Drosophila melanogaster: one gene and its partner. The protein of the gene in region 2 purifies or fractionates together with the protein of the main gene of each other region. This does not show direct contact. Each region holds a gene or a part of one and is shown on either strand. Other genes may lie near its edges.

The links.
Region 1: the proteins of alphaTub84B (region 2) and ringer purify together in Drosophila melanogaster (affinity purification with western blotting, with the first as the bait; one study listed by BioGRID). This does not show direct contact.

The regions. Positions count from the first base shown.
Region 1 is NT_037436.4:16,352,657-16,363,682, forward strand, and holds ringer (ringmaker), read right to left. Parts: upstream 6,773-11,026; 5' UTR 6,643-6,772; intron 3,793-6,642; exon of another isoform or gene 3,649-3,792; intron 3,536-3,648; exon of another isoform or gene 3,435-3,535; intron 3,381-3,434; 5' UTR 3,374-3,380; coding exon 2,978-3,373; intron 2,712-2,977; coding exon 2,529-2,711; 3' UTR 2,090-2,528; downstream 1-2,089. Other genes in the region: Tcs3 (Threonyl-carbamoyl synthesis 3), read left to right, coding at 1-259, 315-557; Pdh (photoreceptor dehydrogenase), read right to left, coding at 669-959, 1,024-1,425, 1,482-1,625; Cpr72Ea (cuticular protein 72Ea), read left to right, coding at 9,994-11,019.
Region 2 is NT_033777.3:7,083,499-7,091,638, reverse strand, and holds alphaTub84B (alpha-Tubulin at 84B), read right to left. Parts: upstream 5,041-8,140; 5' UTR 4,898-5,040; coding exon 4,895-4,897; intron 4,406-4,894; coding exon 3,056-4,405; 3' UTR 2,800-3,055; downstream 1-2,799. Other genes in the region: tailor, read left to right, coding at 5,659-5,757, 6,127-6,225, 6,282-6,714, 6,872-7,105, 7,158-7,264, 7,321-7,456, 7,515-7,691, 7,748-7,949 and 1 more. UniProt on the Drosophila melanogaster protein: Tubulin is the major constituent of microtubules, a cylinder consisting of laterally associated linear protofilaments composed of alpha- and beta-tubulin heterodimers.

The DNA of each region.
Region 1 (11,026 bases), on a different chromosome or scaffold from region 2:
GCAGCTGGCCAAGTCGAGCAATCGTTATATTAAACTGCCCTATGTGGTTAAGGGCATGGATGTCAGCTTCTCGGGGATTTTATCCTACATCGAGGACCTGGCAGAGCCGGGCAAGAGGCAAAATAAGAGAAAAAAGCCACAGGAAGAAGAGGTCAATAATTACAGCCAAGCCGATCTTTGCTATTCGCTGCAGGAGACCATCTTCGCCATGTTGGTGGAGATCACAGAGCGCGCCATGGCACACTGCGGCTCAAATGAGGTTGGTTGCAACAGTTTTCCGAAATTAATCTATGAGTTAACCGACTTCTTTTCAGGTCCTTATAGTTGGAGGTGTGGGTTGCAATGAGCGACTCCAGGAGATGATGCGTATTATGTGCGAGGAACGCGGAGGCAAACTCTTTGCCACTGATGAACGTTACTGCATAGACAACGGACTAATGATTGCCCATGCTGGTGCAGAAATGTTCCGCTCTGGCACTAGGATGCCCTTTGAGGAATCTTATGTGACTCAGCGATTTCGAACGGACGAAGTGCTGGTCAGCTGGCGGGATGACTAATCACCACAAGAACTTATTTCTGTGCATCGTTTGTTTATTAAATAACTAGTGTCCATAATAACTTCATATTTGTAAAATGCATGTGTTTAGGATGTGAACGAATTAACCCACTTAAAGGGCCTGTTCCTTGCCCGTCCACTGGGGCTTAATTTCCAAAGGGTAAACGCGCTTACCCTCGATGACATAGACAGCTCCGTTCTTGTCCTTCTCCAGGACATTCAGAATGCATCGAGAGACATCAGCGGCACTCTGCTTGTTTAGCCTATCCAGGATCCTATAGGTCTCGTCACTCGTTTCCGGGAAGATGATCTTCTCCGTAAAGTTGGTGAACATGTCCGTCATTGTAGCTCCAGGACAAACAGTCACAAACTTGATGCCCGAGCGTTGATAGTACTTTTCGTTCTAATTAAGAAAGAGACTTAAATGAAAAACCTAATTCAAAAGATATGTAAGAAATTCTTGTTACCGCCAAGCACCGGGTGAAGTTGATGATGCCAGCCTTGGTGGCTCCGTAAACGGGAATGATGAACATTGGATCCAGACCCACCACCGAGCTCATGTTAACCACAATGCCACCCTTGCCGCCATTATCCTTGCCCATGTAGGGCAATGCACTCAGTGTGGAATTGATGATTCCACCGAGATTTACCAACAGAGTCCTCTGCACATCCTTGTCGTTAAAAATCCCGGCTACATTGACCACAATATCGATGTTACCGAAGGTCTTGGCTATCTCCTCATAGGTGGCTTCCACACCCTTCTTGTTCGCCACATCCATCTTGATGATCATTACGCTTTGGGTGGGATGAGCGGCCCTAAGTTTTACAAACTCCTCCAGATTATCCTGCAAATCAATGATGGCCACCTTCTAGGAAGCACTCGCTTTAGAAATTACTTCACGTAATTATGTGTAAAACAACCAACCGCTGCTCCAGCGGCCAGGAGCTGCTTGGACACCTGCAGTCCAATGCCTCCAGCTCCACCGGTCACCACTGCATTCTTGCCGCGAAAGGACATCTTGGTCTGGCTGATTCGTGTAGTAGTCGGTGGTATTCCTTGTGGCTTCATCAAGCACTGAGCTCCTCAGTTGCACTGCTGACTTGGAGCTGTAATGTTCGCCGCTTTTATACCTATTTCCCAAGGGCTATATGATATATCGTTGAGTGACTTTGGTTCGACTGCAATCAATAGCTAGTTTTCCACCTGCTCTGGGTTAGGATTATGCAACTTATGCCCATATATCAATTTCCATCCCCATCTGGTCGCTGTAGCGTTCAGTCTGCTTCACACCGCTCCGGTTTTTCGATGTCAGCTTTGCATCAGTGATAATGTCATTGTGTAGATAAAGCAATGATCTCTTAATAACTATCTTCCAGTGAAATCTTTGCTTTTAAGAAGGTACACATGTTGGGCATTTTTCAAAGATCTTACAATTAAATGTATATTTCGATTTACAAAACCATCTTAATTGCTTTAAAATTTTGGTTTTTTAAATTGTATTTCCTCCCAATACAAATTTTAGCAATGCAAATATTTTAAAGTGTATTTATTCAAGCAAAATTCTTGTGAAAACATAACATATATCTACATATGTATGTCGTATATCTTTGGTTTCCATATGTGATATTTAAATTTCTTTCACAAATTGTAATATTAAAAGTTTATCTGTTATCTTAAGACTACCAAACATGGGTTTGATTGCCATGAAATGTATATAAATTTGATTTGGATTTACTTTTGAACTCTTTTTGGGCCGCTTCAAAATTTTACGTATCAAAGGACAAAGAAGGATAAACAAAGTAAAGGAACTCAAAAATTATAATCAAAAATATAAGTTTATTTGTAAGCACTTAAATTATCACAAACTTATTATATACACAAAGATAAATTAGATTGGGAGACATTAACTAGGGAAACACAAAAGTTAGAAATACAGATTTATGAGAGGGTGAAAAACGGTGGTTACCCCATCTAGTGGGCATTGTCGTAGGTGTCCTTGTGCTGGTAGCCACTCACATATCCGGATCCATCGACCACGTTCCGTCTGCCCGCGATACCCTTGCCCTTTCCGGAGGCATCGAAACGCTCCTTGTGGGAACCGGTGTACTTGCTCGTATCCGTCAATCGATCCACGGCAGCTGCGGCTTTTCCAGCCTAAAAATGGTAACAAAATGTTGATTAGGTTTTCAATAAAGGCATAAAGTATATGGTTATGACTTTCAAAGGTTTAAAAAGATATTTTTTAAGAACTTCTGTAAGAAAACTACTTTAACAATTGATAGTTTAAATGAGTCAAAAAAAAATCATTTAAATTTTGTCATATCTAAATGGTCTTCTCGAAGTTCTTTACACTTTAAAATCAATCTTAATCATTTGACTTATATAGATCATATTTTTCACAACCAATTTATCAAACCCACCGAAACGGACACAACTCCTGGAGCTCCACAACTGGCCAACTTTTGCTTGATCTCCGACAGCTCCACCTTTTTCGTCTTGGCCAGATCGTCCAGGAATTTGTTGTAGTCGCTGAGCGAGATCTTCATGGCCTTGAACTTCTTGAAGTGGATGCCTGTATCCGTGGTGGTGATCTTCTTGTCGATAACTTTGGCCTGTTTCATCCACTTGTCACTCTGCGACAGCGTTATCAGCTTGCCATCGGACTTGGAGTCCCCGAACTTGGAGAAGGCCTTGAACTGATCCGAAAAGCTAACCTTGGGCTCATCCTCCAGCGCCAATTGGGCCAACTCGGTAGCGGGCACCTCAGGAGTTGGCGCTGGGGAGGGGCTTCCATTTGCTGCAGCTACCTCGGACATGGTGGATCTGAAAAATATATTTAATATTATATATATTTTTTTAACCTTTACTGAACCCTACAGGTGTTTTAATAGATGCCCAGTAATAAATAAACAACTACGGACAAAGAACCTTCAATTTTACAGATGGACTGAGGATCATTTATTATTAATAATATGCCTAGCCTGATAGGTCATTGTTTTGTTTAACATTTTGTAGTGGTTTCTTCCAACACGCAACTTTTCCGCTCCTGCGTAATCGGTTGACTACGGTTGTCACCTACGCAGTTCCTCACCTGTGGGCCACAACGCTCACCAACATTGCGGTGGGTCTTGTCCGTCACTGTCAACTATCTACATATGTAGGTGCTATTCCCAGACGTATCTTTGCGAACACCTTATCAGTACTTTACTCACTTCGCTTTCGCAATGATATCACAACCCATGCTGAACTGGACAAAGGCAAAGCTATACCCACCCAAAGCTAGGCCAAAGCTCTCTCAGCTAGATTTCGAGAGATGGAAATCTAAAGGCAAATTGGGAGAGACTCAATCATTAGATGGCGTCATCGGTTTGGGTCCCCCATCTCCCAACGCAGCTAATTATCGCCTTTTGGCAAACCCAAATACACAAAACAAATAGTCAACAGGTTTGGCTCACATGGGTTACTCTATGGGGGTCAGAACTTAGCGCTAGCTTGCTAGATCTTTTATGATTAGTCTCTAGCATGCAGTTATCATGGGTTTTAATAATCCTAAGGCGATATTAGGTATTTACGGTACAGCTATACAGTTATAGATATACCCTAAAATTATTAAAATGAATCACTTTTACGCTTATTAAAATAACAAAAAGAGCAATAAATATTTTACGCATCGCCAGAAATTCCTCGCTTAATTTGTTACCCACCGAACGTGGCATAAATTTGGATGATAATTTAGTTTTAAAATTGCTTGTAGCATAAATTGTCCTCTTGTTTACAGGCTACCCAACACGAAGTCGAATCCTCAGACCCATCCCCATCATTCCATAAACAGTAAATAAAACGTGAGCATTTATTGGCGGAGCCATTAATTACGCACCACTTAAGGTTGCAAGTTGGAGCCCCAGGAGAGATGGAAGCCGTTTGGGCAAGCATTTAATGCGGCGATAAGATGCGACTGCAACCAGTTTGGAGTCCTCTATCCGTGAGATATGATGCCACGGCTTGTGCCCGCACAGATGCGAATCGAAATCGAAGTGGACGGGCGGGGTAGAATCACCATGACCTTGATGCAGCCCGTCGAGCATGTCAAATACTATTTTACCACCCCCTAGCCCCATTCGCAATCCAAATCGAAAAATGAGTGCTTATGTCATCGCCTCATTACGCCGGCTCTTGATTACGCTGTTCTGGGATCAGCTTTGAATAGCTCTGGGGTGAGGCAATTTAATAGCCCATATTCCCCAGATAATCCATCGAAATGATCTATGTAAACTGAGTGGTTAATTGGGAACATTGCATGCATAGCAAGTCTGCCGGTCATTAATCATCTTATTGGTCTCAAGACCAGGGCCATTGAACTTGAACTCCGCTCAAGACGATACAAATTATCCGGTCCCAGTTCCCGGACAAGACTAATGGAACCCTTTACTCCGCCCCTACATGTAATTGGAAGCCATAAATACTCGGAAACAAGAAAAGTTGACAAACTACACCACAAAAGAAGTTGGAATATGCAAGAAGAGTTTTAAGATGGCAAAAAACAAGAGGCTATCGACTAGGAAATTACCTGTAAAATCAAAACTAATAAGAAATATCTTTAGGTTATCTATGGTGGCTTTCAAAATGCTTTTTTTCACAATAGAATTCATTTTGTAATATTAGTAAAATCAATCTTTTTTAACTACCATCAGCCAATGCAAATAGTTCGGATTGTTAGATCCAATTTTCTACACTAAGATTGACGTTATTAGTTTGATTTTTAATAGAAGCCCGATTGCTAATAATTTTCTGAAAGGTTTTACAAAAATCTAAATATTATAATTATTCGAGGGAAATACTAACAGTTTAAGATGATCGTAATCAATTTAAAAAGCGGAAGTATTAAATCATCGCAATCGACAATGGAAAGACTCATCCTATGATACCCTGATCAGACTTGGATACTATATTCACACAAAATAAATTATTTTCTTAATATTCTTTGGCAACTCAAAGTGCAGATACCCCTCGTGAAATGAATGGCAGAAAATCAGGCAGTCTGATGGGGAGCGTGGATAGTCTAAATCAGAAATAATCCGCTTGCTTGTCAGACCATAAATAATTCGATTCTTCTCATTTCCCATCTCTGTTTTGGATTCTTTCTCTGTATTTTCGATTTGGAGAACAAGTTCTCATCCAGCTCCAGTCGAGCATTGCGAATTCGTTGCCAACATTTTAATTAGTTTTCTACCAAAATGGTAAAAGTTAATTGGGCAATATATATGACATATGACCACAATTTGAATAGGAATATGAATGAATATTATAGATAGCCATTTTCGAAAAGAATGGACTTCCTGGAGAGGGGAACGCAATTATAAACCCAACCTACCTCAAGTGGACCGCTGGAAAGCGAATGGAGGAAGCGAAATTTGGGTCATCTCGATGTATATTTATAAAACAAACGACTTTGGGGGGAGAAACATGAAATACTGCACCACATATGAGTTTACGTGTGTTAATAAACACACAGAAATATTAGCACCTCGGACTGAATGCATAAATTAAAGAGAACTTTTATTTTGGGGGGAACAAAACAGGAAGTCATGGGCATTCTGATAGAGCACGCAACGCAATAGAGAAATCATTGACTTAGGAGGGGGACTTATGCTCGGGACATAATATGTGTATGAAATGTGTAGCTACATCACCACTAGCCCAGATGACATCACTGGGAGCTGGGAAACGCGCAAGCGCCAGTTTGGAGAAGGGGTTTCCTGGGGGGTCTCGGTACTGGAATTTCAGACTGATGATTCAAATGCACGCATATATACACACGGAAGCGGGGAAAATGCGCCTAAATCAGGACCTCCCAAAGGAAATCGAAAACAATGGTGCTCCCCAGGAACAAAAGAAAAGGGGAACGCGATGCGCGGTAAGTGGGTCAAAATCTGCTCTTGAAAATATGAACCTGCTACTCATAAAATGAATAAAAAAAATATCCTTGGCTCGGAGTCTGCTTATAGATGCAGGATACAGTAACATTTTAAAAAAAAAAATAAATCCAACGAACTAGATTATTTTTCTCGAAACGTTTCCAACTTACATTTGTTATTAAAAAAGTTCCAAAAATTCTTGAATATATTTCCAAAAAAATATTTGTTTTATTCCTCGGCTATTTTCCAATCACTTTAAGGCAAACGCGCGAATGCTGGCGATGTCGAAACTCAACTGTTTGGACAAATGCGCAGCCAGTGGCTAGCGAAGGCCCAAGCGGCGTATGAGTGATATTTTTGTTTTGAGTGAGCTTTCGCTGAGTGAAATAGAAACTCAAAAAGGAAAATCCTCCTTAGCATTTTATCCAAAGAAAAGATGGCAAATCGTTGGTGAGCTAACATAAATTCCAAAACTTTCTGAATGAGATAAGGAAAACGATTTGGATCTTATAGACACTTTTACTGACCCCCCAATTTTTTTTCAAGCGATGACTTCATTTCGCAAAATTTTATACACGAAAACTAACAACGAAAGCCACACGACGAAGCCATTTATCAGAAAGAAAAAGAAACAAACGAGACCTAAAAACAACTCAGAATAACAAAAGTGACGCTACACACCAGAATCTTATCAAACCAACAAGTTACACTCAAAATTTTGGTTTGTTGTGAGTGAAATTCTAGGGAATAAAGCTTAAAGCTTTTCCTGATTTTATATTGTCTAAAGAGAAGGGGAGGGGTTCGCCACACAGTCTGAGCTACTAAAACAGTGAGTTTGTAGTCAGTAAATTTGTTTAAGCGCAAAAAAACAAAAAACGATGCGTGAAATTGTTGGGCAAAAAACACACACAACAAGTGCCAGACAATTCGAATAATGAAGGGTGTATCTTTTGGGCTTACTTAGACGTGTTTTTGGGGTGTGACTTGGGCTATACTAACCAGTGAGCTCATGCTTAGCTATGCAAATGAGTACTTATTTCAAGCGGTTAAGATTTGTCGACCGCCTTACTAGGTAAATGGGTTCTTTGAACTTTTCTATTTTGGACATTCAGGAAAAAGTAAAAGTCAAATAGGAAATCATAAGGAAATTACTTCGCACTCCATAAAATGATTAAACACATACTGAAACAACAAGCCCGTCCTAAACCCAAAACAAACCCTAAACGAACGAAAAAAAAACCTTTGACATTGATTTATGAGAACTGACGGTCGGAAGAATTTGGTAAGTTTTTGTGGCCAACTCGATGAAGTCATAGCCCTGGCCCAAAACCAAAATACAAAGCAACTGAAAGACTAACTTGGAAAACGAAATACCCTGAGGAGACTTCTAATTAATTTCGTAAATTAAGCATTAGGTATTACAAACAGAGGTCCATTGATTATTATTATTTAATATACAATGTTTGATATGTAATTTAAATATTTCATTCTACAATATTCATTTAGTTTATTGACCAGATGACGTTTAGAATATTCTTTAATTAAAATTAGAAAGAGTTAAATTTCCTATATTTATGGAATGTTTTACAGCTGAAATACCTTTTAGACTGATTCGTTTGCTCTTTTTTTCTAGGACATAAAATCAAAGTACTCCCAGTCCTGAAAAATGAAAAACATGATTCTTGCCACCTGGCCTATCTTAAGTGCACCTTTAATTAGCCACGAAGGCAGTTCAAAGAACCAATGGTGGTACACAAATCAGGGCACAGTCCACTCGAGACAGAACAAAGGGAGTGAACCAAGTGGACCGGACTATATTGCCAATCCAACTTCAATTCCAGGCCAGAACTAACCAGCTCATTAAGCCAGGCTGGAATGGTTGTAGAGAATTGGGCTTTGATTGAAACTGAGTGCCAACGGGGCTAACATTAAAACGCACTTATCAGCCGAGCCGTCAAGGCCAATCCAATGTGGTTCTTGCAGTTGCTCCTCCTCCTCCTCCTAATCGGGAGCGAAGTTTAAGCACCAGAGATCTGAGGCATCCGATAAGCCCGCTGCTAAAAATAAAAATGACCAGCGAAGGAGGAACAGGAGATACCAATGCAGCTGCAGTGCATCAGAGGCGGATGGGAAACATATTCTTAGGGGGTTTTCTTAGTGTCCGGTTGAAATAAGTATATATCTTCAGTGTATACTATAAGGTGTCTAAAAATTCACATTATATTATTTATTTAGCGGACTTAACGATTTAATTAACCCTTTTCTGTGTCATATTTGTAAGCTCTTCGCATAAAACATATATTTCTTATGTACATACATATGTATCTAACCAAGTATTATAATTTTTAAGGGTACTTATGACCCCCCTAAGACCCCCATTTTGTTCGCCACTGGAGTGCATGACTCCCGTGTCCAAGCTGTGGCCAAATGTGGCCCTTGGCCTTCACTCACCTTGAGATGCCGTTGTTGTCGTCGTCGGTTGTTGCCACAGTTGTTGCATTTGCTGTTGCAGTTGAAGTTGCTGTTGTTGTCGTGGCCCCGTTGCAGTGTGCGAACAAAAAGGAGGCTGAGATGCCACAATGCTGTGGCAGCAACAACGATTGCATATCAATTACACGCTGGTCTGGATGCGGTCTTTGGCCTTGATGGTCCACCCAGCCAAGGCCCTTGGCTCGCTTGCAGATCCAGATGCAGATGCAGATGGAGATGCCAGGCAGCGATTGCTCCTCCCGCTGCGGAGAACCAGGGTCTGCCTCCCTCATTTGGGCCCACTCCAGCCTTGGCCACAATTAAACCAAATTGACAACGCCTTCACGAGGCGTCGATCCCCAAAAGGGGAGTGAAAGGCGGAGCTGCAATGTCCGTTAACGACACAAGTGGACACGACGACGCATTCGCATCTCCTCGTTTGCATTGAAGTGCATCTGATGGATACATTTGGAGAAAAAATTAATTGGCTGTTTACTATTTTAAAATGTGACAGATATTATTACTATTAGGTTATTCTTTAATGAAATACGTGTGCTTGTACAAATTTGATGAATTCTATTTAAGTACAATAAACCACCTTTTTTATCAATAATAAAATATTTTTTTAATGATTGTCATAATCATAAAATTAAAATTTCAGGAATTTAAGAACAGTCTTTTTTAGCAATATTATTATTTATATGCATTTAAATTTATGTTTTAAGCTTTGTACAAATCATTATTAAACAAATTACGAACTACTTATTTTTGGATTTAATTTAAGTCATAAAAATCACGTTACTATATTAGGGTAAAAGAGCATAAAACATTTGTATACTCTCTTAGATAATAATATGGCATACTTTTAGAATTTTTTCGCAGTGTATCAGAATAGAAGCATCTGACCGGCAGGAACCTCAGCCAGAACCAGAACCTAGAACTCGCGAAAGAACCTGCTGGGTATAAAAGGATGAAGACCTAGGCTCAGAATCAACAGTTACCAGTGAACTGACGAACAAGACTCACTCGAAGCAATCTTCCACTGCCCAACCATGAAGTATCCACTTCTGCTGTTAGGAAGCCTCAGCTTGGCCCACGGACTGGCCTTGTACTATCCCTATGCGTACACTGCCGAGGGATCCGCCGTGTTCACGCCCACCCAGCGCCAGTATATCGCCAAGGATGAGTTGGGTCAGTACTCCTATGGCTATTCGGAACCATTGTCCAGCAAACAGGAGACCCGCACCCTAGACGGAATCACCCAAGGATACTATAGTTACCGGGATGCGGCGGGAAAGCTGCAAACGGTTAACTATGTGGCCGACAACAAAGGTTTCCATGTGGCAGCCACTAATCTGCCAAAGGCTAAAGTTCCCCAGGAGTCGCTAGAATTTAGTCCCAGGAGCGCGTCGCATCCAGTAGACCACCATGTTGAGCATCACGCGGAGGTGTCGCATGCTGTAGTTCAGCATCCTGTTGGCCACCATCCCATTGAAGTTCCACATCATCACACTGTTGTTGAAAGCGGACGAAGTGCTCATCCAGATGGACATCATCCCGTCGAGCACCACGAGCACCGCGTTGCTGTAGCTCAGCATCCTGTTGGCCATCATCCCGTGGAAGTTCCACATCATCACACTGTTGTCGAAACCGGCCGAAGTGCTCATCCAGATGGACATCATCCCGTCGAGCACCATGAGCACCCCGTTGCTGTAGCTCAGCATCCTGTTGGCAACCATCCCGTTGAGGTTCCTCATCATCACACTGTCGTTGAGAGCGGTCGAAGTGCTCATCCAGAGGTGCCCCATTCTATCGAACACCACGAGCACCCGGTTTCTGGCTCAGACCCATCCGGATCCCATGGTGGCCACTCCCAATTGCCTCATCCCGTTTCTGATACCGCAGAAGTGGCTGCGGCCAAGTCGCTTCATCTTCAACGCGTCCACGATGAAGGCGTGCGCAACCAGGTGCTGGCCAAGATTCCAGTTGCTGTGGCTCGCAGCCACCATGTCGTGGTTCCTGCTCCGGTCTACGGCTACACCATTCCCAGGTACTACACCCCCGGATTTTACTATTGAATGGCAG
Region 2 (8,140 bases):
ACAAATTTCAACAAATCAATATTGGCATATGTAGGTATGCATTCAACATGTTGTTGGATCAGGTAGTAAGTCATCGACGTCTACCTGGTCCCCATAAACTGCGCCAATTTTTAAGAAAAACTGTACCAAGTTTTTAAATCCAGCCCCGGTTACTGCAGAAAACGACTGACGATCTTGCACAACCCATTGGGTGCATTTTTCAATGGCTTCTTCCCTGTCGATTTCAGAAACGATTTTTAACTCCGTTGGTCGTCTCAATTGTAAGCAACATTTATGGCGGGATAAATTGGAAGTGTGATTTTGTATAAATTTGAGCACTTTCCGGCATTTACTGCAAAACAGCCATCCGTCCAGAACAGTTTCATCTTCCTTAAAAATGTCACATAAAATGCTCCAAATCACACTTTTTCCCTTACGTTGATTGGCAACAGTGTAAGCTCCATTCATAATTTTTTTTTTAATTAAATCTGCCGTTGCTGTCATAGTTCCTCCACTATCACTATCTACAGCTTCTTTTATCGCGGCCGAGACTAGAGTACCCTTTTCTTCTGCCTCCGAATGGGCCTTAAGACTTAATGTTGTTGGATCAGGGAGTAAGTCATCGACGTCCACGTGTTCCCCATAAACTGCGCCAATTTTTAAGAAAAACTGTACCAAATTTTTAAATCCAGCACCGGTTACCGCAGAAAACGACTGACAATCTTGCACAACCCATTGGGTGCATACTTCAATGGCCTCTTCCTTGTCGCTTTCAGAAACAATTTTTAACTCCGTTGGTCGTCTTAATGTCAGGCAACATTTATGTCGGGATAAATTGGAAATGTGATTAGGTACAAATTTGAGCACTTTGCGGCATTTACTGCAGTACAGCCATCCGTCAAGAACAGTTCCATTTTCCTTTAAAATGTCACATAAAATGCTCCAAATCACACTCTTTCCCTTACGTTGAATGGCAACCGAGTAAGTTCCATTCAAAATTTTAGTTTTTATAATATCTGCCTTTTCTTCCATAATTGCGACCTCTTTCTTTGGCTTCGAATTATGACTATTTTTGCCACTCAAAACTTTTTGCGTACTTGCCTTTTTCTCACTGTTTCCCTTTTTTCTGAGTGGCGAGTGTGTTCGGCACTCGCGACGAAGAGTTCCGCAATGATTCGGGTGCGCGCGCACCCGAGTGCTTGCAAAACACACGAAGGTTATAAGTGAGTACCCGTAAGGGAGTGGCACCCGACACTCAAATTGGTTGAGTGGCAAAAAATGCCACTCTTGCAGTTCAGACATACATACATATGTATGTACGTATGTGTTCTGTATTCTTATTTATTTTGCAAAGCGAAGCATTTTATATTTCCGAACTTTACTTTATTGATCAAACATTTCGGCTTACACATTCATCCGTATTCATCAGAGCTCGATTGTGGGGGCTTGCTGGCCATAAAACCGCCGACGAAACCGCCTTATCCACCCACACCTTTCTGAGCAGATCTCTGTGAGCCGGTTCCGAAGTGTCGTCATTATAAAAATGCGTTGGCGTTTGACACTATCCATGTATGTACGTACGTATGTATGTACATATATAGTCATATCGCCATACCAAATCTGCGTTGGCAGCTGGCTATGATTTCATGAAGCCAACTGTTTGCATTTATCGCCGAAAAAGCGTGATTTTAAGGCTGAAACTGTTTCTTAAATAGTCTTAGGTGCGTGCTGTTAGGTAAACTATATTTCAACGGCAAAAAAAAGACCCATTTCTTTGCACATTTGTACCAAATGACATCAGACATAACCTCAATAAAGGCGCCAGTCTCTACCGGTAAATGCTATTTTATGTATGTATGTACATACATATATGTATGTATGCACGTTCTTACATGCAATGTGTGCGTTTGTGCATTTCTCGTCAATACAGTGTACACATTTTCCAAGCACATCTGCCTCCCGTGCTTCATTTCCTGCCCGTTTGCCTGGGTATTTCTGGAAATTCGATAGCAGCTGCCTCTTCGGTCTGTTTCATGAAAATGCCGCATTGGGCGCAAACGGAGCAGGCGGATTATGTATGTATGTGTCTACATACTTACAAGTACAACACAACAACCAACCGGTTTACCTAGGCTCCAATTTCGTTTTGGCAAATCAACCCCCATTAAAGGCCTGCACAAAGTACATACATAATGTGTATGTACAAACGCGGTCACTTCAATACGTACATACATACATATTTAACTCGTAGACTCGTAGTTAAATTCGGAAGCTTCGCATGGTTTTGCCTAATTGTTTCAGATTTATGGGGCTTACATACATACATAATTACTTTATACAACGAAAATTACTAAATAGAATCGTTCCTGTAAGCAGGACTGACACATTTGCTTGCGTTGATTGCTATTATATCGACCTACCATAGTCACATAAATATGTACATATGTAAATATGTATGTATGTACAATCGCATGCTTGACGGCAGTTAAGAAATGAAGTCACCATTTCGGTGAGCTGGCAACGATTATGCTGTGGCCCCGAAAGGAATGACTCATCGTCCCAGAGAATCGATACCAACGGTGGAAAGCCAAGTGCATGCCACACTGCGTGCACAGCCTGCTGCTACACTTGCCACAAACAGCAGGCGGAAAAGCGCAGCAGCGGCCCGAATCGGGGAAAATAGAAAGCGCTAATTATAGACGAAGTGAACGGCAGCTCTGCTTTCCCGCAGTCGAAACTCCGTGCAATGACCCCGTTCTTTCACCACGAAATGAATGATCGCTGGGAGAAAGAAAAGGCAAAGAAAAACAGTGGGGTTTTCTTATTTCTGACAACACTGAATCTGGCCGATTTTATTCTTGTGTACACAACTTATCGCCGAGTTAACTTGGCTTTTCTGCTATACGTGTCTTTGTGGATAAAATACTTTATGGTTTCTCGTACAATCTTCATCGTTTTCGTATGCTTTTCAGTGTTGCAGTGAATTTTTTGTTGCGATTGGAAGCGTAAACACTGATTTCGACGGTTACCCCGCCCACCAATGACGCTCCCATCGAGCGTTGAAGTGGCGTGACGCTTAGTACTCCTCAGCGCCCTCACCCTCGCCGTCACCGGAGTCCATGCCGACCTCCTCGTAGTCCTTCTCGAGGGCAGCCAAATCCTCACGGGCCTCGGAGAACTCTCCCTCCTCCATACCCTCACCAACGTACCAGTGGACGAAGGCACGCTTGGCGTACATCAGATCGAACTTGTGGTCCAGACGGGCCCAGGCCTCGGCGATGGCCGTGGTGTTGGACAACATGCACACGGCACGCTGCACCTTGGCCAAATCACCTCCAGGCACCACGGTGGGTGGCTGGTAGTTGATGCCAACCTTGAAGCCAGTGGGGCACCAGTCGACGAATTGAATGGTGCGCTTGGTCTTGATGGTGGCAATAGCGGCGTTGACGTCCTTGGGCACAACATCACCGCGGTACAGCATGCAGCAGGCCATGTACTTGCCGTGACGGGGATCGCACTTGACCATCTGGTTGGCCGGCTCGAAGCAGGCGTTGGTGATCTCAGCCACCGACAGCTGCTCGTGGTAGGCCTTCTCGGCGGAGATAACGGGGGCGTAGGTCACCAGAGGGAAGTGAATACGTGGGTAGGGCACCAAGTTGGTCTGGAACTCAGTCAGATCCACGTTAAGGGCACCATCGAATCGCAGAGAGGCGGTAATCGAGGACACGATCTGGCCAATCAGACGGTTCAGGTTGGTGTACGTGGGGCGCTCAATGTCCAGATTGCGGCGGCAGATGTCGTAGATAGCCTCGTTGTCGACCATGAAGGCGCAGTCGGAATGCTCCAGGGTGGTGTGGGTGGTCAGGATGGAGTTGTAGGGCTCGACCACGGCAGTGGACACCTGGGGGGCTGGGTAGATGGCGAACTCCAGCTTGGACTTCTTGCCGTAGTCCACGGAGAGACGCTCCATCAGCAGCGAGGTGAAGCCGGAGCCGGTACCTCCACCGAACGAGTGGAAGATGAGGAAGCCCTGCAGACCGGTGCACTGATCGGCCAGCTTGCGGATCCTGTCCAGAACCAGATCGACGATCTCCTTGCCGATGGTGTAGTGGCCACGGGCGTAGTTGTTGGCCGCATCCTCCTTACCAGTGATCAGCTGCTCGGGGTGGAACAGCTGACGGTAGGTTCCGGTACGGACCTCATCGACCACAGTGGGTTCCAGATCCACAAACACGGCGCGGGGCACGTGCTTGCCAGCTCCAGTCTCGCTGAAGAAGGTGTTGAACGAGTCATCACCTCCGCCCACGGTCTTGTCAGACGGCATCTGGCCATCGGGCTGGATGCCGTGCTCCAAGCAGTAGAGCTCCCAGCAGGCGTTTCCAATCTGGACACCAGCCTGACCAACATGGATAGAGATACATTCACGCTGTGGATGAGGAGGAAGGGAAAACGGATGATTAGTTACACACCCCAAGAAAATCGATAATTGCAGAGCCGCGCCCAACTTGAGCCGGCACTGCGTGCGAGTGAGAGAGGTAGCTAAATGGTATACTGATTTTTTTGCTCTACTTTGCCGACGCCGGAATTTTACTCTCTCGCCATTTTCTCTTTAATTCTATCCAAAATCTACAGTTATGCGTCGAAGTATCATGGTAACCGAATTTAGAATTTTTAAGATTAATGAAGCGTTCCAGCAGCATAGAAATAATGAATATTTTTTTTATCTAGATTTTAAGAGCCATTCCTCATTGCGAACAAAAAAAAAAAACAGGCATGACGTCATCACTTTTGAGGAAAAAACGCAGGCCGGCCGCCATTTTGAGAAAAAGCCGCATCGCGTTTTTGCCCATTGAATTTTGCCCACACAAATTTCTTTTCAGCATTATTTCACTAGATTTTTTTTTAAAGTACTCACCATATTGAGTTTTTATTGGAAGTGTTTCACACGCGACAAGGAAAATTCACAGAATTGTGTAGAGCTACGATTTCGAGGTCTGACTCAGAGAGCGTATACGTTCGAACTGCCGGCTATGAGGCTTGACAAACGTAAAACGAATATGAAATGTGGAAAGCGGGCTGCTTTATATAGGCACCGGAGCTAGAGACGGCAAGCTGTCGACTTAAACGCCGCATAACCGATAACTGAAGTGGGAGAGGTAATGGCACTTGGTCTCTCTAAAACTTGCTGCGGTATTTTGCAGGACTAGTTGGGACTCGAACCAGGGCGTGAATCTTTGCTTGCCCAACCGGTAGACCTAACCGGTTGCTAAAGTGGGCCAACATTAATAATATTTTTGTTGAATGTTTCATAAAAGCTATTTTAATATAAATTCGCATCGTTACCGATTCAATAAGGTTTAGTAAATCATTATATTTCTGACTCCATATTGATTTCCAACAGCAAATTAATTAACTCCATAACTTCCCCTCTCCCTTTGGAGCAAAGGATGTAGTTAATATCTTAACATCTAAACTTGTTTTGTTTTTTTATTCAAATAGGAGTTATATTAAATAGAAATGTAAAAAACAAAGCAGGTTTTAAGAAAATGATGTCAGGAGATTTTGAACTCCTACTCATGGTCACTCTAATCGCAGTCTGCAATTTACGTGTTTCCAACTTAACGCCCCCAAGTTAATAGCCGTAATCATTTGAAAAGAAAGGCACGCACGCACAACGCCATGCGGATCGAACCTGGGGACTCCTTTTGGACGAAAAAGGCGATGTTTTCCAACGCAGAAAGGCAGTACTTTGAGACGGTCCGTCCGCGGAAGACCAGTGTGAGTAAAAGTTGACCGTCGATGGCGATTTCACAAGTGACGTTTAAGTGGCGGGAACTTCTACTCACAAATCCCTGAGCCCTGTGATATGATTTATTTTATGGAGCCGTGATCCGGACGAAAAATGCACACACATTTCTACAAAAATATGTACATCGCGGTGCGATTGTGTCGCTTAAAGCACACGTACACCCACTGTCACACTCACACTCACATGCATACACCGCCGGCGAACTTTGGTGTAGTTGGCCACCCTACGAAATTCAACCGCTTCGATTCGAATTTTCGAATCAACAGTTATTGGCAGTCGAACAAAGGCGGCAAACTTTCGAGTTGCAGAAAAGTTAACGCATTCGATTAACCTTTCAGCTTCCGGGCTCCACCGCGCCCAACATAGCCGCTCCGGTAACAAAGGCCACGAAGAAGAATAAGACGATGGCCGAGATGATGCCAAACAAACTGCTTTACGTGAGTACGAGTTTGTATCATTCGAATTTTTAGACTAAAGCCCGCTGATCGTGCAGATGAATCCGCTTACCATGGAGGCACACTTCTTTCTGCAGACCCTAAACTCAGTGAACCAGACGACGAATCCGCCGCAGCTAGACCCGCACCTGGCCAACCTGCTGGAGCGCATTATGGTGGGCATCGAGAGCTACTTGGACAGGAATCCCACATACGTTTTGCCGCAGGAGATGGCCGCACCGGGTGAGGGCGTGGCCTTCGTCCAGCCCCAGGAGCTGCAGACAATAAAGCGAACATTCAGCTGTAGTTCCTGCAGCAACCGCATAGTGGGCACCACCATCGCAAAAGCTGTGGCCCACCTTTCGGAGCAGCATCCAAAACCCAATCCCAACAATCAGCCAGTCCAGCCGCATCCGACGCATCAGACGAAACAGGAGAAAAAGCAGGCCCAGGTGAAGGCTCGTCAGCATATAACAGTACGGCTACCCAAGAGTAGGTCACCATTTCATTTCATTTACTTACGCAGAAGTGCAGTCTAAAAATTGTGGTCTGACTACTTGTAAATGTTAGATTGATAAAGCCTCAATACTTTGATTAATATGTTTTCTTTAGAGCCAGCGATATTTTATAAATACTTTTTACATTGCAGAGGCCAGGGCAATGATTGTGGGAGAGATTACGAATGTGTTTAAGGACAAATACCCAATAGCGGACAAGTTAAAGGTGATTCCCGAGTACGACGTTATCGAACAGGACCTGTGCAAGCTTTTGTCGCCGGGCTTTCCCAAACAACCACTGCGAGTCTACAAGTTCGGGTCCCGCATCACAGGCATTGGAAATCGATCCTCGGACCTGGACCTCTTCGTCGACATCGGTAAGTCGGGTTAGTACTGCATTGAGCTCCTACCAATTTCACCTGGCTTCTGAATTGGCAGGCAACACATTTCACACGTTCGAGCATCGAGCTTCCAACGCTACCGTCGCCAAGCTGCGGGCTATGAGGAAGTTCTTCTGCGACAGCGAGGACTGGCGTCTTATTAATGTGAGCTGTGTCCCTAAGCAATACGTTCGTTTTTACCATTGCACTTTCTTCAACAGTTCATCGAACAGGCTCGCGTGCCCATCATCAAGACGTGCCACTTACCAACCGGTATCGAGTGCGACATTTGTCTGAACAGCATGGGCTTTTGCAATACAAATCTGCTCAAATACATATTTGAGTCACAGCCACTGAGTAAGCACATGCTGCCGGATAGAGTCCATGTTATCTTTTTGCATTCGCTCCCTTGCAGCTCAATATATGTGCATATATGTAAAGAACTGGCTGGAGCGCTGCAAGCTAACTGAACAAATATCGACGTACAGCATTACACTGATGGTGATTTACTTCCTGCAGCTCCAGGCCCTGCTGCCCCCCATTGCCATGCTGCAGATAGAGGATGCAGCCAATCAGGCCGTGCTCGTGGGTCGTAAGTACATCGTCGGTTTCTTGGGGGGATTCACCAAGTAAGTCGTCTCTTTACAGCGTGGGTTGTCAACTTTGCACAAAAATCGTTTAGCGAACTGGGACTGCAGCAATTAAAGGCGACCGTCCCCGTCATCAAGGGCTTCCTTCGAAACTTCTTTGCGTATTTCGCCAAATTTGACTACGAGCATTTCTTGGTCTGCCCATATATAGGTCAGGCTAATGTTGAAATCGCGAAGATTGAGAGGATGCTGCATGCTAGGTGAGAATATTAATTGCTTAACTTTAAGCCCTTTAAATATGTAATGCTATATAGAAATTACAAAAAAAAAAAAAAAAAAAAAAAAAACTTTCCCTGCTACTAGGTATTCAGCATATGTGTCGGACAACCCTGAATGCTCGATCCAGCTGAAAAAACCGATGGTGGTACAGGATCCCATACAACTAAACCAC